4 linked regions of the Styela clava genome follow. The protein of the gene in region 1 binds, or shares a complex with, the protein of each later gene. Links are inferred from orthologs where the notes say so. Each region holds a gene or a part of one and is shown on either strand. Other genes may lie near its edges.

The links.
Region 2: nuclear pore complex protein Nup205-like (region 1) and nuclear pore complex protein Nup93-like share a complex: the UniProt entries of both Homo sapiens proteins name them as parts of the nuclear pore complex. The link is inferred for Styela clava from reciprocal best matches to the Homo sapiens genes NUP205 and NUP93.
Region 3: nuclear pore complex protein Nup205-like (region 1) and nucleoporin NUP188-like share a complex: the UniProt entries of both Homo sapiens proteins name them as parts of the nuclear pore complex. The link is inferred for Styela clava from reciprocal best matches to the Homo sapiens genes NUP205 and NUP188.
Region 4: the proteins of nuclear pore complex protein Nup205-like (region 1) and nuclear pore complex protein Nup85-like are in contact, whole or in part, in a cryo-EM structure (PDB 7TDZ), measured with the Xenopus laevis proteins. The link is inferred for Styela clava from reciprocal best matches to the Homo sapiens genes NUP205 and NUP85. Residues at the interface, in XP_041443600.1 of Xenopus laevis: Glu1477, Cys1480, Arg1481, Cys1484, Asp1485, Ser1517, Gly1518, Tyr1519, Leu1520, Lys1521, Val1522, Val1524, Asp1525, Ser1574, Gly1575, Gln1582, Gln1638, Gly1641, Gln1642, Gln1645, Val1648, Leu1690, Asp1691, Ile1692, Gly1693, Leu1694, Asn1695, Asp1696, Gly1697, Ser1698; in XP_041431608.1 of Xenopus laevis: Ala86, Glu87, Glu88, Ala89, Ser90, Gly91, Lys92, Ser93, Arg94, Lys95, Pro156, Pro239, Met240, Gly245, Thr246, Gln247, Thr248, Leu249, Thr250, Glu251, Phe252, Glu253, Leu254, Lys255, Trp256, Gln257, His258, Trp259, Pro315.

What each region holds. Positions count from the first base shown.
Region 1 is NC_135252.1:18,333,817-18,341,806, reverse strand, and holds the start of nuclear pore complex protein Nup205-like, read right to left. Parts: upstream 3,008-7,990; 5' UTR 2,869-3,007; coding exon 2,728-2,868; intron 946-2,727; coding exon 774-945; intron 23-773; coding exon 1-22. UniProt on the Homo sapiens protein: Plays a role in the nuclear pore complex (NPC) assembly and/or maintenance. May anchor NUP62 and other nucleoporins, but not NUP153 and TPR, to the NPC.
Region 2 is NC_135264.1:9,869,970-9,876,976, reverse strand, and holds the start of nuclear pore complex protein Nup93-like, read right to left. Parts: upstream 3,006-7,007; 5' UTR 2,792-3,005; coding exon 371-2,791; 3' UTR 1-370. UniProt on the Homo sapiens protein: Plays a role in the nuclear pore complex (NPC) assembly and/or maintenance. May anchor nucleoporins, but not NUP153 and TPR, to the NPC. During renal development, regulates podocyte migration and proliferation through SMAD4 signaling.
Region 3 is NC_135260.1:11,105,830-11,113,762, forward strand, and holds the start of nucleoporin NUP188-like, read right to left. Parts: upstream 3,012-7,933; 5' UTR 2,915-3,011; coding exon 2,886-2,914; intron 2,215-2,885; coding exon 2,086-2,214; intron 2,005-2,085; coding exon 1,920-2,004; intron 1,683-1,919; coding exon 1,531-1,682; intron 1,072-1,530; coding exon 1,005-1,071; intron 250-1,004; coding exon 121-249; intron 1-120. Other genes in the region: DNA-directed primase/polymerase protein-like, read right to left, coding at 3,480-4,742; DNA-directed primase/polymerase protein-like, read right to left, coding at 5,108-6,598; cytochrome c oxidase assembly protein COX18, mitochondrial-like, read right to left, coding at 6,778-7,836. UniProt on the Homo sapiens protein: Component of the nuclear pore complex (NPC), a complex required for the trafficking across the nuclear envelope. Required for proper protein transport into the nucleus.
Region 4 is NC_135263.1:560,608-568,352, reverse strand, and holds nuclear pore complex protein Nup85-like, read left to right. Parts: upstream 1-4,743; 5' UTR 4,744-4,837; coding exon 4,838-6,775; 3' UTR 6,776-7,506; downstream 7,507-7,745. UniProt on the Homo sapiens protein: Essential component of the nuclear pore complex (NPC) that seems to be required for NPC assembly and maintenance. As part of the NPC Nup107-160 subcomplex plays a role in RNA export and in tethering NUP96/Nup98 and NUP153 to the nucleus.

The sequences.
Region 1 (7,990 bases):
TAGTGAGGTTGTTGCCTCTCACCTATGTTAATTAGAAAAAATAGTAATCCAAAATTCAGAATAAAATTGAATTGTTCAAAACATTTATCACAGCGTACATTCCACTTGAAGTTGTTCACTTTATTTACATCTGTAAACTTATCACTGGCATTACCTTGCACACAGATGCTAATAATGTACAACTTATTGAGAATATTCTTGATATTGCTTTTCTGAAAAAGTTTGACTTTGGTTGGGCTAGGCAGAACTTAACAGAATAATATTTGTAAGTGTGAAGACTTCTGAACCACAAGAATTTTACTTTTTAAAAACAATATCTTTGCAGCGTTTGTAGAGCATATGGATCTACTAACACTGAGGCGTAGAGAAAGGGGTAATCGGTCGAAGGTTACCATTTTAATCCAAAATACCAAATAACTATTTGAATGGTTAAATCCAACCTTTATCAGTTTTAAACTTCGAATGAATTATAGATTTTTTTACTGGGGAAGGGAACTCGCGGGGAACCAAAGCTGGTTACCATGCAGCGACACCCAAGGTTCAAATATCTACGGTAATTTGAAAAATTAAAATTTTAGAGTTAGGAAACTACTGTTTTTAATGGTGAGTACCGTACGAATCGTTGACTAACGAATCGTCTAACATCGATTAATACAGATAGTTAATTTCTTGAATGTTTTCTCAACAAGTTGACTATTAGAATAAATGTTTGTACCTTGTTTTACAAATATAGGCAATGCTATTAACAAATACATTGATTTATACAACCTTACCTTCCAATAATAACTCAACGGCAGAAAACTCATTCAAATTGAACAAATCACTGACAATAAGAGATTCATCTATAAAATCTTGAGAGAATGTCTGCGGCGAACTTTCTCCTTTGAGACTCAAACCTTCGTTCACTGCATTTTGTACTTTGGTCCGATGCTCAGCATTTTTCACCTGTTAAAAATAGAAGTATATTATGATAATATATTATGAGTGGTCGCTAGAAAAACAGAAAATTTGTCAAACAGCTGTTTATTTTGCACAGAATACCTTTTTTGAGGTATATATAGAATCAAATTGAGTCAAATAGAAAATATATCAACCTATAACCAAAAATAAATAAAAACGTTTCGAAAAAGGAAAGGAGTAAGCAAGCATTTTATTTGAGATCTCATCTGATCTGACCTTCCAATTTTTTGCTTGTCTAGCGACTACCCTACTTACAATTGAAGTTTTACTACAGCATATCCAAGTATTGAAGCATTGCAATATCCAGATATCTGATGGCTGAATAATATCTTGTTACAGTATGAAAGGATTAAGGCAGAGGTCGGGAACCCATGGCTCGCGAGCCATATATGGCTCTTTTGGTGGCGGCTTATGGCTTCCAGAAAAATCTAATATTCTGAGGCTAAGCTTACTATTGTAACGAGATTTCAAACTCTTTTATAGACAAATTTGCCAATAAGTTTGAGAACGCGTGCCCAGCGCATGTCTATGTTTTGTAAGAGAATTACCAGACAGGCATTGTGACCAAATTATGTGATTCTGGAACATATATTGTGACATCACAAATCGGTAGTCTCGGAGCAATAGAAAAAAGCTTTTTGTCCATTTTTACGTACTAGTTACAGTTACAGTATTTGTCATATTTAGATCAGACTAGCAAAGCTAGTTTTTAAAATACTACGAAGATGCCTAAACGAAAGAAGGGTGATGAGTATCATAGATTTTAACTTGTGCTCATGTGAGCAGCCGTTCAAGGCCCTCAGCGTCAACATGCAGCATCAGAAGTCACAATAAATGTATATGACATTGTATGTGTTGACTTTTGAGTAAAAATCAGGCCTGATTAAGTGAAGAAATGCTATATGACTCGCACAGAGATACAATCGAAAATATCTACCTTTTATGGCTCTCTTGACCAAAAAGGTTCCAGACTCCTGGATTAAGGGAATATAGTCAAAAACAGTGGTTTTAAACCTTTTTGGTGGAGCAAAACCATGACAGCTTGAAGAACTCCTGTGCATTTGCATATATGTCATCATACACTAGACTAGGCAAATCAAAAAATTTAGATTAACGGTTTAATGTGATTGTCTTCAAAGGCATAAGCGTAATAGTGGAACACACATATTAAACCTGTGTATTTGATTATATTTGAACAACATTCAGATAAACGTTACATATGCATGTGATTATATCTAGATATGGACTCTTGGATTCAAATGTAAACTTGGGTAACCCCAAACTGTCTGGCTGCAATGCTGTACTGGCAGTATGGCACTGTTCTCCGATTCCAGGATTTCTCAACATTTGGTTCAATGAAACAGGCTTTATTTGTCTATGAAACATGGCCGTATGACACGATGACAGATGTGTCAAATCGCGAAAGATTGTCTTGGTAATAGTAATTCAAATAACCGTGATAAATTAGATTTTTTTTTCAAGGTAAACAATGGCTGAATGATCAGATGGTTCATTATGCAATGCCAGTTTGCCCGTTTGATTCCATACAGTACGACTGTACGGAGGCCCAGAACATTTCGCAAGGGAGGGTTTGCACTCACTTTTATAGTTATTGTCTTATAATGTCTGAATGTGGGGGATATTCTTGAAATTGGACAACTGCAAACTGCAACTGCTGAAACTGTGTCATACTGAATAGAAGAAGCATGGTTGGAAACCACTAGTCTATAGAGCTTCGAGATCAAAATACCAATAACAGATGCTTACAGGGTTTTTAAGCAGGCTTAAGAAGTCAGGTCTGTGGCGTCGAAGAAGAGCTTTGAAATGATGAATCGATCCACTTTTTCTGAGAACGATTTCTTGAACAGTTGACCACAGCTCTTTAAACGGAGCCCACCTCTCCATCATCACACCCGGTCCTCGTTAAATGAAATACCTACAGACCTAATAATATATTATAGTTCTGTAGTTATGAAACCTCACAGAAATCCAATCTCTAGAACTCGGAATGCTGAAATGGCACGAACTACAAAAGTGCAGTACGCTCCCGCCACAATATAGTGGCATTTAGACGGTGCCAATGGTTTGCAGTTCGTGCCACCACATTAAAATTCGGTTCTGATCTTGCTCAAGCATTTCCAGTGAAAAAACGGAAATGCGGAAAAAAAGCTTGGGATTGTCTGGCAACAAATTTCAATCTTACGAGTAGCGACTATTGAAAGAGTTAATTGAAATTTTGCATCATGCACTAAAAGTTATCGGATTGTCGCTTGTATCCTCATTTTATCCACATGCAAAATTTAAAACCATTATCACTAACAACGGATATTTATTTATAGTTGCGTTTCGCTTGTTGGACACGAAGTGGACATAACGATCGTTTCAATATTATGTTGTTGTTGTTGTTGTTGTTCTTGTTCTTTGACACGTTTTTAAAAAGTCGCTTTTCTCTTCGAATACTGGACCAATTGCTTTGAAATTTTCAGTGGTTAAAGATTAATTTTTTCGCTAGAAGGCTATTACTTTTATTTATTTCAAAATTTTGCGTGAATTCTATGAAATTTGATATTTCGTCTAAAATTTTGCTGCATTATTTTTTATCCATGGGAACACGGATTTTAGTCAGTGTCATGACTGGCTGTACGTTTTGATTCTGCAAAATTCTTGCTACTGGAAATTCAGAACTTTTTTGAGGGTACCGGTAGCGTCAAAGGTACCGGTAAGGACTGATTCGCTCTGGTCTAACGTGTCCATATATTTGTGCGTAGCTCTCTTGTCTTACTATATAATATAATAATAATATTATAGTATACAAAACCCCTATAAAAGGTAGCATAGCGTTTAGTAATCCTAGTAACAGTGGTACTGTTTTTATCGATAAATATTATTATATAATATATATTTGCATTATATTTGTTTTATTGTAGTAAACTTTTGACCTGACAACAGACAAAACGAAAAGATAAAATATAATCTGTTACACACAACAAATTGCACGAATCGAGATTGTTATAGATGTATTTTGTTGTTGAATTAGCATCCAAGGCTATTCTTGTACATTATCGCACCATATGTTAGAAATCTAAAAAAATCTTGCAACTGAATGTTAGGCTTATTTCAAATGACCCATGACCTAATTAAAGCAGAAAGAATAGTAGTAAATAAAATACCACAGACTGCGATATCAGCAACGCGGGTAGCAATGCTTACAAAATTTTGCTCCGTGTAGGGTGTAGATTGTGAAATCGATTTCGAGGAAGTCTTTCGGCAACTTAACAAATTTCTAATAGTGTCATTTCTTCAAACAAGCATGCTTTTATTTTACTCTTTTATCTAAAATTTGATTTTAGTTTTTTTTTTAAATTCACCATTTTTATTCAAATTATTTATTTGCCCTTTTCGCTTCGGTAGTAAAACATGATGACAGATTCACCGACAATTAACCTATTTATAACTGAAAATAAGATTTGGTTGTAGAGAAGGTATAAAACGCCACATAGAAATATAAAAATTAGCTCAGCACTTTACCACCCCAGATAGTGTCTTTAGCCCCGCTCGTGTCGTTTGTTTCAAGCATTCCGATCATACGCTTATCGTATTTAAAACAGCAAAATGCTTCTCGATAGTCCTACAAACAAAAAAAAAATCGGAATGAAGTACAATTTTCGACCGTGACTCTAGCGACGTTACATGAACCCAAATCCATTCATGTCCGCAACAGCATATTAAACCGGAAATGTATGATTAAAATGAGAGTGAGCCATCTTCTTCATGCGTCTATTTTTGCCTTATGAGAGACAATGCAACGAATGACACGGCAGTGACGCAATTGAGAATTATCAATATAAACAAGGGTTGTGATGCTCATCCAGAATTTCATCGTGTATCCAGTGGACTAACTGTGTCAAACAGTTTGAATCAAGGTTAGCTAGGAAATATAATAAATTTTTCCTTTGAGTAACATTCCAATATTTATTTTTTTTTTTCGGAATAGTCGGCTTCTTAGATTTTGGGATTGAGTTTTCGTCGTGCAGACTTATGCGTTGTGTAACTTTCCTATTTGAAAGTAAAGACAACATGTAAACATAGACATTGAAAAAAGTTCAAAATTTACAGCCTCCACGTGGAGTTCGATTTCAAAATAATTGTCAATGTGTTCTGGAATGATTTTTATCGGTGTAACTTCAACTTTTGACGATTACAACGTGCTCCGAATCAAAGATCTTTGATCCAAATAAGATAATTCTATATCTTATTTTTTAAGATGAACAAGGCATTTTTGATTTTGCTTCTACTTGGGTTGTGTTTGATTTTGGAATCGGAAGCTGTAAGCGTCAAATAATAAGTTTGGTTTTTCTTGAAAATAATAATACAAATTAAATTATTGATTGACACTATTTTAATACAGTAATTCACTGAATACAAAATTGTTTTTGTTCGCGATAAATTTTGTCTTTGATAAATTTAAGTTGAAGCGTCTTAATACGGAACAATGATTCACTGACTAATTCTTTATTTCCACTGATTAATTTGAAGGTTGGTTAGTATTATGGCTTTATTAGGTTTTAACGTTTTATGTGATGAAAGTATTTGTGCATCTAGCTGACACGATTTTGTTGTATTTTCGATTTTGAAGTTGCTATTTTGTTGTAACTAGGCTGAAAACTGTTAGAACCCATAACAAGCAATACGTATATTTTTTTTTGGCGCTTCCGAAGTATGTGAACCAAGATGGCGCACAACCCGAACCCTAACCTGGTACACATATTATGTTCAGGTTGTGCGCCATCTTGGTGCACATACTTCGAGATGTCCCTTTTTCCTTTAAAATTTATTCACAATCAAGCATATTTTTCAAATTCACTATGTTTCCATCCAGTCCGGGCCCAGGAAAAATTCGAAGAAGATATCCAAGGCCTGGTTGGCCATGGGGACGAAGGCGTAAATTCCGAGGACGACGCTGTTACCTCAAAGGAGATGAAGAAAAAGATGAGGAACCAAGCGCCGAGCAACAACAACAGTTTGATTCCATACTTGAGCGCGCGAAAAAGTTGGATCAAAAACTTGCGGAGGGTAAAATTCTTTTAGCGCCACTGTTAACACTGTCTCTATAAGACGTTCATTACATCTGACTGTCGTGTTGTCGTTACTGTATAACAGTGGTCTGCCAATGCGCGGGCCAAATGCGGCCCGCAAACAATTTTTAGGTGGCCCCGAACGACCTCAACTTTAATGCACAAAAGGAAAAATTGCTCACAATATCATTATCTGCGCCAAATAAAAGTCGTAAAACGGCTGTTGTACGGCTTTGTTTTGTAGTAATAAGCGTAAGCGAAATCTTATTTCAGTCGTTTACTTGTCGATCTGTTAGTTGTAATTAACACAGAAATAGCAGTTGAGGGTGCGTGATAAAATGAAGTTCAATTTGGCAATTATTTACCGGCGGAAATCAATATGGTCTGCTTGTTGTCGTCAATGTGCATATTTGGCTCAGTAGTAAATAAAGTTTGCCGACCACTGTTATGAACTTCAGTGCGGCATTTTAAAATTTAGCAATTATCCAAATGTGGGAACTATCGCCTAACTCAAGACTATTGAAAAAGCTGAAAAATTATTAACATAAAAACTTGTTAGAAGTCAAATATAAAACCAATTGATTTACTTCCATATTTTCCGTCATGATGGGTAAATGGTGCGTGTGTTGGCTATATTGGCCAACGGATCAGTGCTATCGGATTTATGCCATTGATCAAGTCAGTATCAGTATCAAAATGATCAATTATGTTGCAATTCATATTGTATTTACTGGATTGGGCGGGTTATTGTCGATTTTGCATAATTATATTGATATCGCAGTTGTGGGAAATTTATCAAGCAAACCTATCGATCACTCACGGTTGTAGAAAATTGGGTGAGCTAACCGATCGTAGCACTGCAAGTTATTAGCAAAAGTGTGAAACAATAATATGTTAATGATTTTTCATTTTATTTTTCTAAAGATATCGCAGATCTGTTCAACGAGTAGAAGACAAAAAAGCAGAATCGTTTCAAGGAGATTTTCAATATTGAAACTCTTACTATTTCTCAATGCCAAGGATGAAACATTGACAATGCAAATTTCGTTCATCATGTATTAATGTTTCAACCTTGGCCTTGTGTTTTGCTGCGACAGTTTCTATCAGCTTGACAAATAAATCTCCCTATAGAATTATTGGTTAAATTTGACCTCATGAAATTAGTAGAAGTTCGCACTGGTTGAGAAATACTTAAAATATTATTGAGTGTTTTAAATGGCTCGGGGGCCAGGTAGAAAAAAAAAACTATAAATGGTAAAAAAAATAATTGTTTGTGAAATTTGAGTGACCAGCTAGCCGCTTCAGTCCTTTACAGTAATGTACTAGAAATTCAACATTGATAGATCGATTAGTCGCGGAGAAAAGTTTTCTTTCCGAAAAATTCTTAGTCAATTTTATTGTCTTATTGTTGAAAATATTTACTTCGATTATATCAATGCTTGATGGTTAGAAGCATTGGTGAGATTCAGGGGCTGGAATGTGATAATCAGAAAACCCGTTCTTGTTTTTTTTTGTGTGTGTTTGACCAGGGGTTTGCAAACTGCTGCCCGCAGGGAAAAATTGTGCGTCCCACTGAGAAGTGCGAATTTTGAATAATGTGCCGCGAAACGAGTTTTTAGTTTAGTTAATCTGGTACCTGCGAGCAATTCCAATCTTTTTCCGATGCAAAGTCTATACCAGTACCCGAGTGCCACTGTCATATTAGCAAAACTAGCATTTCAAAACTAGCTAGCAAAATCCTGCAAAATACACAATGTTATAAAATGTGTTTCTTAATGAATTCGTTTAAAGTCGGTGTGACAATAAATTTGAATAGCAATTTCTTCAGAAATATTTGCGTTTCAACCATTTCTGCAAGGACCCCCACCAATGCTGATCAATAACAAAAAGAAACAATTTTGTTATGCCTGAAAGTCTACAACTACTAGAAATTCTATCTTAAATAAAGGTACGGC
Region 2 (7,007 bases), on another chromosome or scaffold:
GCATTAGCACTTATTTGTTGCCAAGCGTCAATGTTTACAATGTAAATTTTGATATCAGTGTGATTGTACCAAGTTGATCAAAATGGATAGTGTTTGGCATTCAAGCAACATACCTTATGCTTACAGGCCAAAATTAATAAAAGCCATACATTCTGTGATAATATTTTTGAATGTGGAATATCATATTCAGCAGAGAAATTTGCAGAAATCATGGTAAATTGATAGTGTCAGATGTCAAATACCCAAATTGACAAATATCCAAATGAAAATATTCTGATACCTCTTAAGTCATACATTTGCCAACCCATTTCGAATGGTCTCGAATATTCAATCGATTTTGGACATTTCAGTGTACTTATAATATGTCCTCTCACATCATATCAACCTCAATTTGCACTAGTTTTGATGTGATATCTCCAGGTAACTGGTATGGAAGCATTCCAGCAAAAGTCAGTAAAGCACTTGCGTAAGAACGTGTCGCCCCAACTTCTAAGATTTTATTGCTTTGCAGAGCCTTTTTCTGAGATGCTAACATGTTCATCGTAGCTAGCAGAATTTCCCCAATGTTTTGACGAACTTCCTCGGAAAACGCAGAAAAATTTCTCACCCTGTCTTGAACTTGCTCAGGCTTAGTTGGCAAGATATGAAGTTGATTTATAATATCCATTGCGGTGTCGTAACGACGAAGGTGATACTGGTCAAAAAAGGTCAGGAGGTCAAGCAGAACGTAAAACGTGGAACTCAGATCCTGTGAAAGCTCAACGGCAAGTGAGCGATATCTCTGAGCAATTGAAACAGCAAGATCTTTGATACGAACTCGGTCAGAATGGGCACGGTCGGCAGACGGTAGTAGAGGACACATAAGCCTATTTAGAAGCGTAATAACATTATCATAATTTCCACATAGGTCATACAATCGGATGGCATCTTCAAAGAGACCTTTGGCTTCCGTATCTGCAGCGACTTTTGCAATCAATTCCTTTGTGTCACCAGCACAATATCTATCCACTAATCCAGGGCGCCGGCTACCATCAGGATTCAAACCCCCTAAAAGCATCGAGAATTCGCCTGTTTCACGAATCAGCTCGCTCGTACATTGCAAGAAGAGACTCTCATTTTCATGTCTCTCATCTCTGAGAAAGTACAAGTAATTTAACGCCTCTCTTGGGTCAGTCAACTCAAATTTCCGAGTGTACATCATTAACAATCTTGGTAAATTTAGTCGTTGTACATTCGTGAATTGAGATTGGTCAGATGGCTTGGAACTGATCAACCCGTCATGTAGATTGGTTGCTTTCACCAATAGATTTGCTTCGTGAAGCGCTAGTGCTACATGCAATGCATGGCATCGTAAACTCGGAAATCGAGACAAAAATTCAATCGCTGCTTCAAATTGGTAAGTCAAAAACAATACTTGGAAATACAGTAGAGGGTTTGAAGTAGCGTTGAAGTGGGATTCTCCATAATCGGAGAGAAGTTTTTGAAGCGTTAGCAAGGTCAAAACTTCGGATTGCGTTGAAGAGGACTTTTCAACGACAACTTGACATAACTTTACCCATAAATAGTCATCAGTTGTTCCAGCGATTTCTGTATGTGACTCCATAAAATCGCAATGACCGAGAATACAAAATATAGCGATTGCATATGGATTTCCAGCATTTCGAATTGATCTTTTGTATTGTAATAATAATTTATTTTCAGAAGTTGGAGACAAAGTACGATCTTTAGCATACTCGTTAATCCAACCTGAAAGCTCTGGGAAAGTCCCATCCAAAGATTGCGCAACTTCACAAGCAGCTTCGAGATCTCCGCATCGAAGACAAAAATACAAAATCGCCCAATCGATATTTCTGTATTCATGAACTTGATGCGGAGGCTTTACCTTCAAAAAACTTTTAACAAGATTGATAGTGCCTGGTCGTCCACCAAGTTGTGCCACATGAGGGCGCTGATGCACACATTTCATCATGTAATCTCTGTACATGTCTTCTAAATAACTTCGAGCTTGGCCAACGACAGAAGAGATTACATTTTTTGACAATCTTCTTGCAAGGACAGATTTGTCCGCTACAGATATTTCAGCATTCAGGACATATTTCACCATATTCCATAGCGAAATAATATTTTCATCTCGTATTTTTTCAGCCGTTATTTGACACAAATCTACGAAATTTGGTCGAATCGATCCAGATAATACTTTTTCATTATAGATGTAAACTTGTTGTGCATAACCAACTTCCCAAGTATCCATAGCACTCCGAGAAACCGAACGAGAAGTATTGTAGTCATCAACTACTCTTCCAGCTTCAGAAAATTCTTGGGTGAAATTCAAAGTTCCATCGCTGCCAATAAGCTTCCCAAGTATACTCTGCTTTTGTTTTTCCCACTCACTCATTCTAGATTGCCAATAATATTTTTCAACAGCTTGAAAAGCCTTACTTTTTTGTTCTTCTAGAACAGCAAGTATAGCATTTTCTCGTTCATTTCGAAGAAAGCCTTCAATATCAGTATCACATACTGGTTCCAATGGCTCTAAGGTCTGTGCAGCTGATGTTAACGTCCTCAGTCTATCAGAAATTTGCGGAATTTCATGCCCACGTCTACTAAGAAGCAATGAAGCCCTGACTTCTGCATTATCATGGGTTGCTGGGGTTCCAGAACAGAGTCTTTGTCCAGCGTCCAAAATTTGTTGAAGGTTACGCTGGACTCTTGGTAACTCGTTACCACCATCAAGATCCGCTGTCAGTCGTTCTGCTTGTTGTAAAATATCGTCAAGTTCAACACCAGACATGATTTTAGGTTGAATATTAATTACTATAATCTAAAACTTTATATTGGAAATGACTTACGGTAACTTATGTCAAAAAGTGTTTCATTGGAAAATCAGTGCACTGTAGGCTAGTCTACTATGATATCAACAATTTAAACACAGCTCAGCAGTTAAATAAACATTGGAATTAATAGCACGTGCCGGTACGGTACCGGTTTCGGTTCTGCGATAAGTCTGTAGCCAGGTAGTCTACCGGTAAGTGGTACAGAGGTTGAACAACAACAAAAGCACAATAAGCAAGAATTCTCCAACTTTGTTGTGTACGGTACCGGTACTCCGGAATATTCAAAGTAAACTATCTAAATATATATATTATAGCAAAAAAACCTGCATCTACATAACGCCTAAATAAAAAATGTATCCTAAACTGAAACATATTACTCACAAAACAGCAAAATATTGCCGAACGCGTCCACGTCGCAGAGCTTTGCCTTATTCCTGTTAGTTATTGTGTCTTGTGACAAATAAATTTTTTTTAATCAGCCATGTAGATTCACCGGTAGTGGGAGTCAGAGTATAGCTGTTGTCTGTCCTGATTTTGGGCGGGATTACAGAACTTAGAAAATCAAAGTTTAGTTAATCTTATATCAGCCGAAAAACTGGGATAATTTTATGAATAATAAATTACAAGATACTAAATTCATAACTGCGCTGTTTAAACGTTTGACACTATTATTTTACCGTTTATGCGTTCGTTGCAAAATTGTTTTTTACAATACAATGTAAGGGCCCATTCACATCTGTTCACACCAGTGCGTTATTCTTTAATTGTTTAAGTAAACTTGCGTTGTTGCGTTAACGCATCATTTTGGCGCACTGCGTCAACGCAACGAATTCTCGAGGAAACATTCCTTTGCGTTGACGCGCTGCGTTGTCTGAGATTTGAGTTGAGTTCCGGTGCTTTGTTCTGTGGTTTGGCGATGGCTTTGAGCAAACATCAAAAATTGGGATTACTGTTGTGGCTGAAAAGACGCAAGGATAAAAAAAAAAATAGATGCAAAAGAAGAAGGTGGTGGGTGCATCCTATTTTGCAGAGAAGAGAGACTAGAGGTACGGTACCAGTATTGCAGTATTTTCACAGTACAGCAGTAGGTAGGCCTACCGTACCCCCAGACTGGATTCCATGGCAGGTGCACGCCCGAGGGCGCTAGCGCTCCGCAAAAATGCACGCGAGCGAAATCAATTTTGCACGCCGAAAATTTGCAATTGCTCACCAATGTAAATCGGTTTAAATGGTTTTAAAATCAATAATCCAGTAATATAAAGATGCCAAAATATTATAACTCCACAATTGTCGACAAATACCAGCCTGCAAGATTTGGTCTGATCGAAATATTGCGAAGCAAAAAGACCATGGACCTTTCCCCAACCTTTGACTAGGCTTGCACGTAATTTACGGATTTACGGAATTACGTAATTATTTTGAGTTACGGAAGGGAAGTTACGAATTCCGTAAAGTCGTAATTATTGCATTGAAACGAGCTTTCTTCAAAGCAGTCAATTTCGTCGATTGCGAAAAATGAAAGCTCAACAAGTAGAAGTTAGAGTTCCGGTATTCGCAGCCGTTTTTCTCTCTCTTGTTACGTAGGTGAAGGAGGGCATGACGCGTTGCCATTCACTAACCTATTATCAACTTCTCTGGCATGGCCAATGTAAATTATTAACGTAGTTAAGGGGGAAGAACTGAGTAGGGCCGTTTGACGCCAACACACCTGGTTTTAACTTCTCCCGTAACTTAACCGTAGATAAAAGATAGAATTGCGTTGAGACCGATTGACGCTAACACACCTGGTTTTAACTTCTCCCGTAACTTAACCGTAGATAGGGGATAGAATTGCGTTAAGACCGTTTGACGCCAACACACCTGGTTTTAACTTCTCCCGTAACTTAACCGTAGATAAGGGATAGAATTGCGTTAAGACCGATTGACGCCAACACACCTGGTTTCAACTTCTCTCGCATCTTATCTAGCATGGCCATGGCCAATGTACATAATAACCGTAGATAGGGGGAAGAATTGTGTTAAGACCGATGGACGCTAACACGCCCGGTTTCAACTTCTTCGGGTGAAATGACTAATGAACGCAGGAGATCAATCTTTCAAACATGGTCTATCAAACATTTGTATCCATTTTACTTTTATTTATTATTTACTTGTTCCAGTTTTCCGTTACTTATGGTATATATGTTCCGTTTCTATTTCATTTTATTTTATAGTCACGCGTTTAAATAGTGGGAATTCCCCACCAAGTGTGGATTAGCAATGCTTAACCATTCTTTAATGTTAATATCAACACTTGATATATGAACATGGAATATCATACTGTTTTTGGCTGTTTTATTTCATACTTGGGTATAAACAGGAAAATATCCATAACCTTTCAACACGACGATTTTGTGAAATTTAACGAAGAGCTTTCGCGACGAATTGGAACCAAATAAGCCAAAAGAGCGATTGATCACTCGCGCCAATACCTCGCCGTGATAATTAATGTCGCGCTTATCAAATAGCAATATGACGACAAAAGAGAGATTGCGTAATGAACCAACGCAACTTCGTCTTCTCGGCATCGGTAAAGCGATTGAGACGGCAGAGAAACAGCAAAACGACGGATTCCTCGCGGACCGCAAAAAAATTTAACTGCTATCATATATAATCAAATATGAGCCAGTGTGTTTATTCTGTGCGAGATCCATTTTCTATTACAAAATCTTGATGTTCTGTTAACGGTTTTATCGTTATATATCAGTCCGGACTTGGTCTTGCGCATGATGTTTTTCACAATTCCTCTCAATATTTCGGCCATGTATGATTAACTGTCTTACCAAATGCGGCAACTTATTTTGATTTATCGTCTACTTGAATACCAAGGCACTCGACCAAACTTGTGTCAATCTTGGCCGATAGGATCGCCGACTTGAGTTAGCAAATTAATGTCGTGAGTGTAAAATAAATGTCACAAAATGCATTGTTTTGCGATATAACTTTTGTATTTTCGGAGAAGGCATATCATATAAGTTCGATATTTAAACTATACTCAAATAAATAATATTTAATCTAAATTTATCGCAAATAATGTTTTAAACATTCAGTCCGCGAAATGATTAAATGTAAAATGAAGCATGGTAATCGGAATATCGTCAATAAGTCGACATCAATAATTATTATTATAAAATGCTAACAAGGCAGTAATGTCGGATAATGCAGAAGACGCTGCAAAAACAAGTCTTCGTCGCGAGGAAATCGCAAGTATAATCAAATGAGTGAATACGCTCGTCGTTGGTTAATAAATTAGAAACCCTTAATTTTTATTCAGTACTAAGGTGGTTTTAAAAAACTATCGTTTCCATAAATAACCGTATACCAGTGTCGGTAATGATAAAATAAAATTGATCGCATAAAAATGGGACGGTTAATTTGCGAAGGTGATAAAGGAAATCAAAGCTAACACAAAAGATAAAAATCAGAATAAAATTAATTTGAATTCACTCCTTGATATTTGTCTTTAACATCTGCCGATGGCGTGTAGTACTGCCAAGAATATGAAAACCCAACTTCAATGTCCCATTCGGAAAAGAAGTGGATTCAATTGGTTGTTATGATAGGTTTAAATGCGTGGAAAAATATCACAATTACGGGGTCATTACGTAATTGATTTTGCCGTAATTACGGAATTGATTTTTGTCAATTACGTGCAAGCCTACGGCTTTGACCCGCGAAAAATTCCTCTCATTGTTACGTCCTTTTTTGCATCTTGCTGATTGGCCAATGTCACGAAGTAAACAAGGAAGTCGATGCTCGGGGAAAGGTCCATATCGTGTTGAATGATAGGAAATAGGAATCCCGTGAGAATAGTTATGGACGAAAAGATCGCCTCCGCACTAATGGCCAAGTACGGCTCTGATTCAGCGTATTTTTCATACAATAATTTTACACGAATGTACTGAACAGTACCGGTATCTAAAGTTGCTCAAACACTCCCAAAATTAGTGACAAAGTATGAAAATAATGTTTGGGGTCAAAGGTCAAACGTCCATTTTGCTCTAATTTGACATATTTTTTATCCATTAATTCTAGGTAAAAACACTACCAAAATTAATGACAAAGTATGTCCATTTTGCTCTGGTTCAACGTATTTTTTATCCAATAATTTTACGCGGATGTACTGAACAGTAC
Region 3 (7,933 bases), on another chromosome or scaffold:
CTTGGCTCGCATACTTCGGGAGGCCTGTAATTCTTTATATTGCTAGATGGTAGGCCAGGCTTACAAAAATGAGTCTCTCTTGTGCTTTATATAGTTGAATAATAAGGAAGAATCATTTACCTGATGTGTGAAACTAGAACCCCTTGATTTAGATGAAGGAGGATCAGATGAAAATTGTTCTTTATATTGAGAAAAAATATTTTTACTGAGATCTGATTTTAAATTGTTGACAATTTCTGCATATTCTTGCTGTAAAAGAAAAATAATTCAAGCAAGTTATGTATGTAGTTGTAGAAGAGTTTTAAAACTTATATTATTTCATTTTAAATTCTCGAGTCAGAATTATACACATTATATTAGTCGGCAGTAGGATAAATTTTCCAACCAGAATTAAAAAGCTTGCTGCATCATAGTTTTCATAATGTCCATTTATAATATAACACATAAAGCTAGATATCTTGGATAAACCCAAACTTCATTATCTAGTTAACTCAGGAGTGTTAGTAAATTTGAGGCAACCAATTTCAATGTTTAATGCTATAATATTGCAAGATTTTCAATTCATTTTCAATTCAGACTGGTTTGGCAGCTGCGTTGAATTTGGATCATTGGTATCACAGGAAGTTAGGCAGACCAGGACAGTGGGGCAAGCTAAATTTTACGAAGAGCTTCTATTAACCTAATTGTAATCGTTCCATACATGTAAGTAGCCTATCTATTCAATATTCACAGCGGCAGTTGGAAATTTGAAGAGAGTAATAAAGCAGTTTAGAATAGGTTTCTTGTTCAAATGAATTATGTGGTGAATGATGAACGTTGGACTTGGAAAATAAATTTTCAAATCACAAATATTCCCATATTTCCATCCTGACAAAGCAAATAATAGTTTATATCTTGGCAGACATTCATTATATCATCTCTGAACATCTCAAAACCCAAAATATACATTGATGATTAGGAATTGCAAAACCTATACTTGAGATTACAATGGTAAAATTCTATACCTGAAAATCATGAGATTTATCTTCAAAATAGCTGAGTACATGCTTTATGATTCGCAGTAAATGTAACCTGAACATAATAAAATATTTAGAATCAAAAGAAAAGACTTTTTATTTGATAGGAAAAAATTCGATCTCTAATTTAATAACAAACAATAAAAAAATCCACATCCCAATAGACCACTTTTCTAGTATTCTTAACTTGGCATCGAATCTTAATTAAGAATAAATAGAGCGCATTTATATTAAAATTCTGTGAAAGATGGATGAAAAAGCATTGCGCAACTTCTATGCAACGCAGTTCATAATAACCTATGATAGGTTCAGATTATCACCGAAAATGCCAGTTGTATTAGGGTCTCCATATATGCTGCACTGCTGAAGGATTTCTATGATGTTCGGAATAAATAGGAAATCTTATCTTGTGATCAATATTCAATTTCAAACATATTATAGTTCTGACATTCATACAAAAAATGGATTGGAAAATGTAGTTTTCTTAGACACAAATTTGTTCAAAAGATTTTACCTTTCACTAAAGAAATATTCGGTTATTTTTCCGATCAATGCAAAATGACTTCTGTCATCTTCTAAAAGTTCGTTGAATTTTTCTTTTGATCCGTGAAAATCACAAAATGAATATTGAGATATCAAATTCAGCGTTTGAACAGAATCAAGGTTCTAAAAGTTTGGATATTCAGAATAAAATAATATCAAACAAGAATGAAAATATTTTAAGAATTGTATACTTTCTAAATCAGACTTGATGTGAAGATTTAAACTCTTTCAGGAAAGAAAGAAATAGGGTAGACGACGCCGAACGCAACAAAATATTCTGATCTTTTTCTACATGTATTTAACATTTTTATGCTTTCTTTGAATAAGAACAAAAAAAAAAGTACATTACAAAAATGATACCAGAAACTCTGCTAGCTTCAAACAAAATGTCTGCAGGTTGGATGAGATGCTTTTGTTATTCTTCAATTTTTTCTTTGATTCTTCGCTGTATAAATATGAATATAATTATTATACACATCCTCAAATTTTAACTTAAAATATACTAAAAGAAATTGCATCAACAAACCCGTTTGTCTTATAGTACTTCAAACAGTTTTCAAGACATTGAATATTCTTGTTCAGTTCATTTCCAACAAGATCTGCATCTTTTATGCACGATCTACCAACTGTGATTCTCCATAATTCCTGAAATGGCCTGAGAAACAAATAAAGTAGGCTACTATTAGTTAGAAAAATATCATATATTCTCAACTTGAGACATGTATTTGTAACATTATCAACAGTGTAAGCAGTTACAATACATAGAACTGTACATGATATTCAGGTTAAACAAAGAGTCTAGGACAGTGGTTCATGAAGGGTGGGGGGGGGGGGGGGGGGGGGCATAGACAATTTTATGAGGGAGCGTGAAGCTAATTAAAAATAATGATCCTGCCGATCTTATTGTGGATGTGTACATTTTTTATTTTGGACATTTATGTTCAATCTATGTATTTTCAATGTGTTTTTGAATAAATCATACTTTTGGCTTACTATCTGGTATTTGTAATTTGCTTATTGTTAGCTACTGTAGTTATTTTGGAGGTGGGGCGCGAGACTTGACGAATTTTAAAAAAGGGGCGCGGCTTAAAAAGTTTGAGAACCACTGGTCTAAGAAAATGACATAATTTGATTGTATTCTCTCGAAATGTTTAAGTTTTGAAATACTACATTCTTTTTGTTGAGTATACATACAGTAGGATCACAACCTTTAGTTTTTAGCAGAACTTGGCATTTGAAATTAAATATGAAATAACATAAGTAAAGGATTTAGTAATTAACAAAATTATAGTGAATATGCTAAAAATTAAAAGGCAGAGTGCTTACATGGAATATGTCCTGTCATCTTCTTTCATGATTTAGCAGATTGAACCAAGCAGGGTTCAATATATATCAGTCTTATAAATACTAGAGAAGACTAAATTGAAAATAAATATAAATGGACTATTTGCAGAAAATTGTGGAAAAGTAAAAACATGAAAAATATTGCAAACACACGAGGCAAAATTGTAGCAGCAAAAAGTTTAGAGGGAGCAGCCAATTATTTCAGCGCAACAAAAAATATCTGAAGTTACGGTACTCCATTTACTCAAAGGACTAATTATAAAGGGACAGTATCCAAAAATTCAACTTCATCCATGAAGCGCTTCTCAAAGCAACTTTCAATTTGGTATGATGCAAATACCATTTATCAATACGAAAAGCATCATTCCTTTGCTGTCAATACCATACATACTTTGCTTTCTGCATAAAATTCTCTCTTTATTTTTGAAAACCTTGGCTTAGTTGATCACATAAATTAGTGTTGTAACCTTCCTATCACAGTAAAAGTATTAAATGATTTGTATCAAGCATTATGTACTATAAAATTTTATGATCATCAGCACAGAATAAATGTCTTTAAGAGTTTTTTTCACTGTATCAAGAGTCATTATTCTCCTGTTTTATCTCGTTTTCAATATGGTCAAGAAGATCTTCGTTTGGAACATCGGTGATATACATTCCTTCCTCTAAACATCTTACAACATTCTTTGGAATTCTTATGGGAAGAGAAAAGAAATCCCTACAGGATTGTCTGTCATAACAACGCTGAATGATAACTCTTTGATCAAGATATGCCAGATAATAAACATTGTTACTTTTGTGTTGCCTACCGATATTCCGACAATATCGATTCCCCCTAATGCTATATTTTACTGTGTTTTCCTCTGCATCGTATTCTATACTACCAATATGACCAGGAGTATCGTTCGTTTGAATAAGTGATTTAACATAATCATTGAGTTCTAGACAATCAAAATCGGAGTAAAAACTATCATGTGTAAAAGATGGAACACGCCCACTGGAGATTGGAACATTAGGAGTTCGTTTTTTGATTTCAAAAGGTATAAGATAAATATCTGTATCATCAACATTGCATATAAGTGAAGCATAGAATATGGATTTATTGTTGCCACATTGAGATAATTCAGGCCCAAAAATTTTGTTCGACTGAGCCATTTCTTGTGATAGTGGAACATGGAGAGTGTCGAATTCAAATTTACAATGATCTGATCTCAGTAACAAAGCTTCTTTCCCTTTTTTGCAAGACTGAAACAATCGGAAGTGACGATTTTTTGTATAGACCGCTTTGTCCACAATGAGTTTATCTTGCCCTCCTGAATGTATCGTTAGTCTGTGTCGAAATTCAGGATTTTCACACAATTCTTCAACAAAATCGCCGACTTCAAAATTAGATCGGAATGCAATACCTGGTATTCTGAAGATCAAATGTTGACTAAATTTTTCACTTGTACTCGAATCTAATCGTAATACATTCCATTCTGAACATACAATTCCAAAATCAGACTCCAATTTGTTGCAAGAAAAACAGATCAGATCATCAACAATTTTATTAGCATCAACTTCAGTATTACTTTCTTTTAAAAACTCGAGGTCAAAATAAAGATGGCACGGTTTGTTTTCACGTATTACTTCATAAAAATGTCGAGGCCAATTATTTTTCATCATTTTCTGATATTCCCACCAGAATTTTTCGTAAGTGCAAGCAATGAATTTTCTTCCTGAGCGATTGTTTTGAAGTGAAATAACAGGTTCGACTGCAAATATATGAATGTTTGGATCGTCTCCAGCTTCGGTAAAAGCATCATCTTGTTTGTGGTGAATATTCCAAGGTTTTTCCATAAGGATCACACAAATAAATCAGTTTAAATCTCAATAAAATGAATCCATATAAGCATTATCACAATTACATTCAATCTATAGCATAAATGGAAAAACTAAAAATGTTTAAAAGAAGAAATAGAACAAACAAACACTTTTATAATGCACCCAAAACACTTGAACATTAAAAGAGTTGGTTATAGCCAATTTCAGAATTATAAAGCACTTCCTCTCAGCCAGGGATAAGTTGAGGTAAGTTAGAAATACAGTTAAGGCCCAAAGCATTGCATGTAGGAAATATGTGAAACAGATTTTAAAAATTAGTTGGCCTTCTAAAAAAGTTATAAACATTAGTATAGTACAAGAAAGAACGTGACTTGAGCAGATTATGTTTTGTTCTCTATTGCGTTCAATAAATCATCATCGGTAACATTTCCCCAATCATCCTCATTTTCACTTTCTGAAATTTTACAATAATTTTCACTCTTATTATTATCACTAGTATCTTTTTCAAGTAAGTTAACATAATCTAGCAATTCTTCATCAGTTACATCAAGACCAATATCAACAATATTGTTTGAAACTTCTTTAGGAAAAGGTATCGGAGAAGATTGGTATCCTTGTGATCTACAAACAGGATCAAGGCATTTCTGGTAACAAACTTTAGAATTTAGATCAGCAACATAATAAATATGATTGCTTTTGTGTTGCCGATTAATATTATTACAAAATCGATTTCCAGAAATATTGTATATTATAGTATTACTACAAGGAAAGAAGGTCCACTTGTTAACACAGCCTTTTGTATCATTTGAATTTACAATAGAATTTATGAAATCTTTCAACGAAGGAAATGGAGATTCAAAGCTATCAGTATGAGGAACATTATCGCTAGAAAGTATCGTGTTTAATTCATTTTCTTTTTTTATTCTTGGAGGCATGTCTACTGAAAGAATTTTAATATTTGAATGGAATTTTACGTTCGACACTAGGGAAGCATAGAACACAAGTTCATTGATGTCCTTTTCTGTCGATTTGTATCGTTTCACTGGAGGAATATTTTCCTTTTCTTGAGCATGGTGCCTACAACAAGCAGCTCTTACGTTTCCAAAAGACAAATCGAAATTACAAGTTTCTGATTTCTTTAGGGCAGTAGATTTACCCTTTTTTGTAGACTGAAACAAACGGAAATTTCTATTTCTTGTATATACGCTTTGATCAATAAATGACACAGCTTCACCGTTTGATGTTAGTACTGTAAATTTATTTCCACTGTTATTGCATATGTTTTGGACAAAACCCCCAACTTCATAGTTGTTTCTAAAAACTGCATTCGGAATGTGAAAAATAAGATGACGACTAAATTTAACATCATTCGATGAATCAAGTTCAAGAACATGTTTTCTATCACACTTTATTTTGAAATCTTCAAATAACTGTTGGCAAACAGAATTGATGACTTCGTCAACTAAATCTCCACCATTTATAGATTGATTAAAATTTTTATGATATTCCAAATCAAAGTACAGATGGCATGCGGCATTTTCTTCAATTACTTCATAAAAATGTTTGTCGCTGTTTTTCATTCTTGAATAATAGAACCAGAATTCTTCGTAACTTGACACAATGAATTCTCTTTTTCCTGATGATACATTGTCAGATTTTGGTTCAACTGCAAAAACCCTCAATTCTTCAGACTTAGCGTGAGCATGACGAAAAGCCTCCTTCAATCGAAAATATTTCGACCATGTGGGTGGAGGACATGGCAAGTCAGACAACCTCGGCGCATAAAACTTGTGAATGGGGTTCTCTGTGTATTTTTCAGCCAAACGTTCAACTCTTCTTTGAAATCTCAAAAACTTTTTCTCGCACGCCATCTTAATAACAATTAGTTTACAAAAACGAAATAAATTTAACCATTGAATTTTCTGAAATTAATTCAAAAAATATTTTCCGTGTTTTTAAATTACCGTTTCTCAAATACAACCAACTTCATGGAACATTACCTTCAATTTTCATGAAGAAAATAAATAACAGGATTCCTATCTCACATATGCTATCTCTTAACAAACTTGAACCGTGACAAGATATCTTGATATGGCGTTTTTGAATAATTTACTGGCATTGGCATACGCATCAATTTTTTAAATTTGGGGGATTGCATTACCAAAGCTTGTGTGACACCAAAACCACTGGAAATAAACCAATAAAACACCACACCTGATGGCATGTAGATGGCTACTGGTATCATAACCACAGAAATGCCCCGCAAAAAATTTATCAAATACTTGGATATACCTTCTAAAGGTGTTTTACCATCACCCCTATGTATTTCAATAGTCGCAAGGTTGGCAAATGCCATTAAAACAGGCAAGACAAAATATGGATCCGCAAGACATAAGTTATTGAACCATAAAACGCCTTCTTGACTTAATTCAGTATATGTTTGTACTTGTGTAGCTGATACACTTGTAGTAAATGGTAAAGATAGAGTCATATTTCTGAGTGAAGCAGTCATAGCAAACCATATTGGAAGTTGTACCCAAGGTACTAAATTTCTTCTCAAAGTACCAGGAACTTTATGCTTCTGATACAATTCCTTTTTCCTTTTATGGAAGCTGTTAAAAACATGCATGTCTCGAGTTTTTTTGTCCCATCTATGTTCTTTACCAGCTTCAACCGCCTCTTCATTCAATTGTTTTATAATTTGTTGCAAAACTGGAGCCAGTAGTTTATGTTTCAAATTTTTCTGCATTTGCCATATAAACAAAGGGGCTGTGATTGTCAGTCTCAATGACAGAGTACAAATAACAATAGAGACCCACCAAGGAAGACCAGTTAAGTCATGTACTGTAGTCAAGTATGATTCCGCCATCTTGACTAAACCACTGTCAACAAAGGAACTATAGATAGATTCCCATGTAGTGGGTTCATAATACTTCCCATAATCAGCAGCATAATCCAATGTCTCTGGTGGGTTTGATTGTGAAGATGAGACAAATTGAGTTGTGTGGTATCCAGATCTATTTGATTGCCAAAACCGTCTGTAATGAATTACATGGTGTGGGTTTGAAGCGATTCTTTTAACTGCAACATTAATTAACAAATGCTTCATTCTATTATTACTAAATTACTATACTCAAAACATTACACTAATTCCTGAAAAAAAAAATACAAAATACATATTTAAAGGCAGTGTGAAATAAACTTTT
Region 4 (7,745 bases), on another chromosome or scaffold:
TGTACTAAACCATATTTTACATTGTAACCAGTGCAATTCTTGCTTTCTTGATCCGTACCTGAGCGAGTTAAAATAATAAGCGACCCCGTATGACCATGGGATATGATTCACTTATTTATCCCTTAGGAAAGACGATAAGACGGCTCAGTCATATGACGAACCATGTCATCTCGACCGGTTACCAATCCATTTCGGGTATGGGATTAGATAGCCAGTTGTTGGTTTAAAATGGACTTGACCATAAAAAGCTATCGCTATTTTAAATATTTCATATTATAAAGACTCCGATTTAGGGTCATAAAATGCTTTTAGCGATCATAATGAAGACTGGCAGAGCCTGCACGACCCTGATGTGAAGTTTTTTGGTATATTTTAACGTTAAGTTAAGAGACGCCCCTTTGTACGGAAAAATAAGATAGTCGAAATGCTTGGAAAACCTTCAAAGTTCAAATTGTTTCACTGTATCGTTTGTAGATAATTTTCCTGTGTTTTGAACCTCGTACTTGATTTTTATTTATCATTCTGTTTACGTCTGTTTATTTTAAAGTTTCATTTATATTACATATTGCAATGTTTTATTTATTTTATATTAAAAATTCAAAGAAAAATATTTTCATGTCTGTCATACGATTTTCGCCGCGTTACTCGACGTGGCGGTAGACGTTTAATTTTTTAGAAGATTCATGGGATAGGGCAGGACTACCCAAATTTTTTCATCGAAGATCCCTACATAGAGCTTTAAAATTTCTGGGGCCCAGTCAATTGGTCGGTAGTTTATCTTTTCACATATGCCGAAAAAATGCATTTCAGTGTGAAGGGAGTAGAGTTATGATGAAAAAAGTCATACATAGAATATTAACAAAAGCAGGACTTTGAGGTACATTTGGGCGTCCCGGTGTCAGGTGTCACTCTCGCCAATGGAAGAAAACGACTTCAGTCATGACAGGCGGAGTAACAAGGGTCATTCCAGACAATATATTTCACTTTGCAAACAAAACTTAAATGCATAGTTTAATCACAGGGCTTCAAGCACTAAACATTTTAAATGTACGAGTCGCGCAGAAAAGCGATTTATTGCAAACAACAGTAAGAAAAATTCTAACGAACACATCAATTTTAAGTTGCCAATTGAGTAGCTCCCCGAGGTAGGTATTGATGTTTATCGCGAAGAGATGAAAGTCTATATTGGAAATATTGATTTGACACTAGAAACGCGATTAGGTGCCGAATATCCCTGCTGAAGAAATAATGAGCTTTTTGTCATTAGAAGGTGCAGGGGCGTAGCCAGCAATTTTCAAGGGGGGGTCATGCACTCGACAAGCAACTCACAAATAATTAAGCAAAAACACAATCCTAGGTATGAAATGCGCGTGCTCGAAATCAGCAAATTGGCAATCCATTGCTATATTTGCCCTGAACTAGTAAAAGATCAATAAAACGTCATTCGCTGTAGTATAGGGTTGCCAACTAAGAAAAGTTTCGATAAAGGACATAGATTACCGTCATCATTTATTTTGTATCTTGCAGGAAAGAACAATATAAAACAATTGAATAAAAACGATATATAAGCTGAAAAGATATATTAAAACAAATTTTATGTGTTTTTTTATTTTATGTTTATTTAACAATGACCCAAACAATGTTAATAAAATTGGACAGTTAGCATCTTTTCTAAATGCTAAAAAAGGCAAGGACCAAAAATCTTAATTAAAAGATTGTCCTTTGAAATGAAGGACGGTTGGCAACCCTACTGTAGTATTAGGTATGGGCGCGGCGGTGTGGCTCAACGGGCTAAGCGTTAGGAATACGCTCGCCACCGCACCTCTAATTACTCTGCATGGGTTCGCAGGTTCGAATCCCATGCAGGGATGATTATGTGCGAGAGGATTGCTGGACTCCTCGCCGTCGTTGGGTGGTTCACGTAACCGCTGGTCGGTTACGGCTTCCTCCACCACCAAGTCCATGCTTCCGAAAACAAACAATTTAACTAATCCCATACCCGACTCGGAATGGTAACCGGACGAGAGGTCGTGGTTCGCCATATGGATAAGCGAGAGAGGGAGAGTTTATTTCATTTTCATTTTGTCAAATCAAGAAAACAATTTATGGACACATAAACAATTATCAAAAAAATAGTTTTCGGTATATGACTGAGGGGCAACGATACGACCTTTGGGGGTCATCAGTAAGCCGTCTTATCGGCTTTCCTTTCCCCCGGGATAAATATGTAAATTCTATCCTATCCTATCCTAGGTCGTTCAACGGCCACCGCAATGCCAGCGAAATCGTTTTATTCATTTTCTTTCTTTGGCACATGGAATCCTATGCATTTGTGATGTATTAGCGCCATCTTTTGGCACATTGATTCCGTTGGCGCGCATATCATACTGTTGTGCTTCAGTTTTTCCTTTGGCTTACATATTACGGCTTCCTCAATTTAGTAATTACCGTATATATTCGAGTTGAAAAGTGTAAAATAGAATTGTATAACTTCAATTACACTTTATTTTTGCCGAAAATTCATATTCCTTTTTATATTCGTTTGACAATATTTTTAACAGGACGTCTATACAGCCGTCTTCAGTCATTTATCCATTCTGCGATTTGGCAAACCCAATTTCTACAGGGGTGGTGATTCCTCTACGGCCCATGGGCCGGGGCCACGGCCCATCTAATTGGGCCACATGGGCCGTGGCCCCATCAAGAAAAGTTCAATTATCTTACCAAAATTTTCAATTTTCACAAAATTGTAAATATTCGAACCAAAAAAAAATCGTTGGATGCCACCAATTTTTTTTCTTACGATAAGCCTTCATATAAAAATAAAGCAAAATACCAGGCTACAGAAAAGGATACTCCTGTAGTCTGTGTACCAGGTTAGGGTTAGGACAAAATTTTGTTCAGATTTTCCACATTATAGTTCTATTATGAGTTTGGGGACTTCTGTGTTAGCCAAGTGAATAGTCCCTTTGCACAACTTGATGGGCCGCGGCCCATAGCCTGATGGGCCGAGGCCCAATTCGATGGGCCGTGGCCCCGGCCCATGGGCCGTAGAGGAATCACCACTTCCACTCCCCAATTTTGTGCTGGCTAGATATGTAGATATAGGCCTATGCAGATAGTGATTTTAATATCAGATTTGAGACCTTTTTCAGCATTTCCACCAGTAATATAAATATACCAGAGATCAAACTGTCAAAAGAGTTGCAGAAAAATAAATGCGTTTATCATGCAATAAAAAACCTGAGTTTGTGTCACATATTTTTATGTCTTGCGAGTTTACCCAGAAAATTTATGATTTTGTTTACTTTATTATTGAAATTAATTAGAATACATTTTGTTTGCAATAAATTATGATTCTTGTATATTATTGAATTTTCCTGAACCTTTATATTTAGTCATATAGCCTAACAACTGTAGATTTGAATGTAATTTTACTTTTATTATCAATAGTGCGATATAATGTTTGGATTATGAGAAATTTTATCATATTTGAAAATAAACACCAGATATTGCTCGGGTCTGGTATAGTTTAGTACCACACGCACTTCTAGTTGGCCTGGCTTAACAATTTTTGCATAAGTCAATTCTAACCCTCACCTGACTATATCACCGAAAAATTAGGTCATTTCGAAGTCACAGTGGCGTAATAAGGCCCACCAAAGTATGCGGATAGTCGTCCGAAACGCGTAGACAATCACCCGAAATTGAGCAAGCTATTTCTCTCGTTCTCTCGCCACAACGATCCCAATAAGAGAGAGATCGCGGGCGTTTGCGAGATTGGCGGCGCAGATGCCATTTCGGGCAATCGTAATTATACTTCAGCAAGCCCTATGACGTGATGGTGACGTCGTAGTGACATAATTTTTGGATGGCATAGTCAGGTGGGGGTTAGGAATAACATATGCAAAATTCGTTATGCTACGCCCTCCGGAAGTACTTGTGGTACTAAACTATACTAGACCCTATTGCTCTCCTTACTTCCTTAAAAAGAAGATAAAAATGGCCCTAGTGTAGAGAAAAAATATGTAGTAGACAAGACAAACCCTTTGAATGGAATTACGAAATTTATGTGCAATAATATTAAGCAATAATTTGAATAATAAGTAGGTTTATAATATCGTAAGTTTTTTGCATAATTTGCTAATTTTAACTGAATAAGTATAAATAAAAAAGGCCTCAGATTTGAAATATTGGATTTCTGCCATATTGCCTAACTTCCGGTCTTATGCTTTTCCTCTACCGTTTCAAAATTAAATTATTTTTTCTCGAGGAATCCAATGGTGACGGCTTCCTTCTAGTTTATTACGCGGTGCCAGTTTGCCACGTTGAGTCGATATGCAGGCCCTGACTGTTTCATAAAGAAGGGGTTCACTCTCACTGTTATAATTGCAGAAAGAAATGAGGTCTTCCAATGACAATATGGGGGCTATTCTTGGAATTGTAGAAATGTGCCCTAAATCCAATGCTTTAAGCACACTGCATAAGTCAATCTTCCAGTTGTCTGTACAAGTCTACAGACAGACAGAGGAATAAATGTTATTAAATCCCATCTTAACATTTCAGTCTTGTGCAAATTCTCAGTTAAAAACCAAAATATTTCAGTATTTGTAGTGATTTTAATATCAGATTTAAAAAATAGATTGCTGCCGTATAATTGTTAGCTCGTGGTTTTTCACTACCATTTCTGATTGGTATAAATAAATGTTGAAATATGAAATCCTATTTTACAGTATTATTTTAATTTACATTATGGTTCTTTATATATTTTCAGTTGAAACACTAAAACAATTTTTTGATATTACTATATTGGATTTGGCAATCATAGAAAAACAAGATGGCTGACAATGAGGAATTTGTCAATGAGATGAACATAAACGACAAACTTTTTGATCCGTGTGGGATTTTAAGTAGCTGGGGGGTCGGAAATCAAATGATGGTCGCAGCTGGGGGTGACGTGGGGTCAGAACGACCCAATCAACTTGCTCATTTGCCAATTCTTATACACGAGGTACGCTGGAGTAATGAAATGCATTTAGACATTACTCGGAAGCTTTTGAACGAATCACATCGAATTTTTATCGAAGTGCAAGAAGCGAGAAATGACTTTCAAAAAAGTAGTCAAGGTCAACAGTTACTTGTGAAATTCAGTCGGAAATATCGTTCTGTTTTGCGAGCTTGCGTTCTCGAAATAAAATCTAAAATTGAGGAAAGTATAATGGAGGACGTTCAATTGGTCATGCAATTAGAACTGCTGAGTATGATGGAAATAATCTGGAATTTATGCGAAATACTTTTCATCGAAAATTCCCCGGCGGGAGTTGTATTGTCTCGTCTTGCGGAATGGTGCAAGTTTCATTTCACCCAAGCGGATGATTTTATGGAAGAATGCATTCAAACGGAACAACCATATAATCATGAATTGTACTGGAGCACCATCAAGTGTCTCGTCCTTCAAGGTCGAACGGACGACGCCCAAAACATGTTGAAACTTCACCCAGAGTGCCAGAGTCAAAAAGATAACGCATTTTTAAGTATGGAAGAGTTGCTGCGAAAAATGCCACATTTTACGTACTATCGCGGACAATCAGTCGTCGAATTCGAGATGAAATGGAACCACTGGCAAGAGGAGTGTCGTCGTAGGTTTGACGAAGGAGAGTTTAATGTTAACAAGGAATTACAAGAAATTGCGATGATTTTATGCGGAGAAGACGCTGTTTTTGAGAATCCCGATTATGGCGGATGGCATCAAATGTTGATATCGAGACTACTTTTCACACAACCGACCGTCAGCGTCATGGAGTTACAGCATCATAGTAAAATATCTGTTGAATCGTGCGGTGGACATGAACACCTCGGAGCTTTTGATCATATTTTACTTGCGGCCTTCGAACTCGATCCGTATTCTGTTATTAAAGAATGCAGTCAGCAGTTGAGTAACTGGTGGTTGGCTGCTCATTTATCCGACATTTTTTACCATCTTGGGATTCTGTCGCAAAAGAAATTAGAGTTTGGGGTCGATTTTCATGAACTTTTGATTCTGGAGTACGCAACGAGTCTCATGTCACATGAAAGTCTATGGAGAGTTACGATTGATTATTTGTCAGCATGCTCGGAGAACGAGAATAACTATCTCTCTCTATTTGTGCGAAAAATTCCAATTACAAGCGAGAAAAAAGCTTCAAAATTGTTACGTATTTGCCAAAATCGAGGATTGCTTGCAGAAGCACAAAGTATCTGTCGACAAATGAGTGTATCAGCGCTACAGCGAAATCGTTTGGGCGCTGCTTTATCGTGGTGTTTAAAATGCAATGATTCAGCCTTAACGATGCGAATTGCAGAAAAAATGTTGTCGGAATACGCTCGAACTGGTGAATTCACTCATATCGATTTGCTGGATTATTTAGGACCTTCAATTCTGTTATCAGATCGATTGACGTTTTTAGGAAAATATCGGGATTTTCACAAACTTTACGCCGAAGGCATGCACAAGGAATCTGGGAATCTACTTCTCAACCTACTCATCTCAAATATAGCGCCTGTTGAGTTTTGGCCGTCGCTACTCATTGACTGTCTCCCTCTTCTTGAGTGTGAGGAGATCGTGTTCAACGCTTCAGACTCTGCCAAGTTACTCGCTAAATCAAACACTCTCGACCAAATCAATTTAGACTCAGAATTATCGGACTCTGAGAAAGAAACTCGACAAAAACGACTGGAATTACTTAAACTAAATATGTCAAGGAATTTAGCCAGAGCTATTGTCAATGCGGGGTAAAGAATGTTCAAACCAGGGATGGACAAAGTCGGATTATCTGCTAAAAATATTTAAATAACGAATGTTTTTAAAGTGAGTCGTGTTTAGCAAAGACATTTCGATGAGTTTAATTTGAAAATGCAGGAAAGATTAATGCAGTAATTTTAACTGTTTTCTATTTCCGCATTCCAGGAATAAAACGATGATGCTCCAAATTGTTCAAAATTATAATTTTCCAGAATAAAATATTCTGTTTCACCATCTTTGCTACCAGTGAAATGTTTTTCTCTCATTTTACCATATCTTTCTAATTGAAGAGGGTCAATTGGAACTACCGGTAAGATCTGAAGCCCGATCCGAAATTCGGGTCAGGTCAGGCCTGAAATGTTGATCATTACGTTCGGGTCGGGCTTCTCTATCGCTGACTTTTTTTTGAAATAAATATATGTTTATAAAAAATATATACTAAAACTATGTGTGGAATTCGAAGAACTCCTAAATAAAATATGAAATTTTTGGTTCGATTCGATCTCTGCCTGCAAATCCAGTTAATCAGTCGGGCTCCGGTCAGGTCGGGTTTTATACCCACGGGCCCAGGTGGTATCAGTGGCTCCTTTCCAGGCCCTGTTCATGGTAAAACATTCCATGAAAATTAGTTTCAACTTATTTTTGTGCTTGATTAATCTTTGCAATGTGCTGCCTGTTTTTTGAGAATTGGTAATTCTTTGCTCAATATAATGCTTTGTACTGAATTGTTTCCGTGTTTTGCATGTATGGATGGGGTTGTTCTGGTTTACCCTTGTTCTAAGTTTTTCATCTTATGCAAGATGTACTGTAAAAAGTGGGGCAGAGGAATAACGGACTGGATTGTGACTAGTTATAAGCATTTTTGTGAAATAATGTTGGTTTATTGTGCAAGATAGAAGTCAATGTGGCTCATTAGGACAGCGGAAACACGAGTGGAACGATTTTGTTACTACTCCCAAAATCT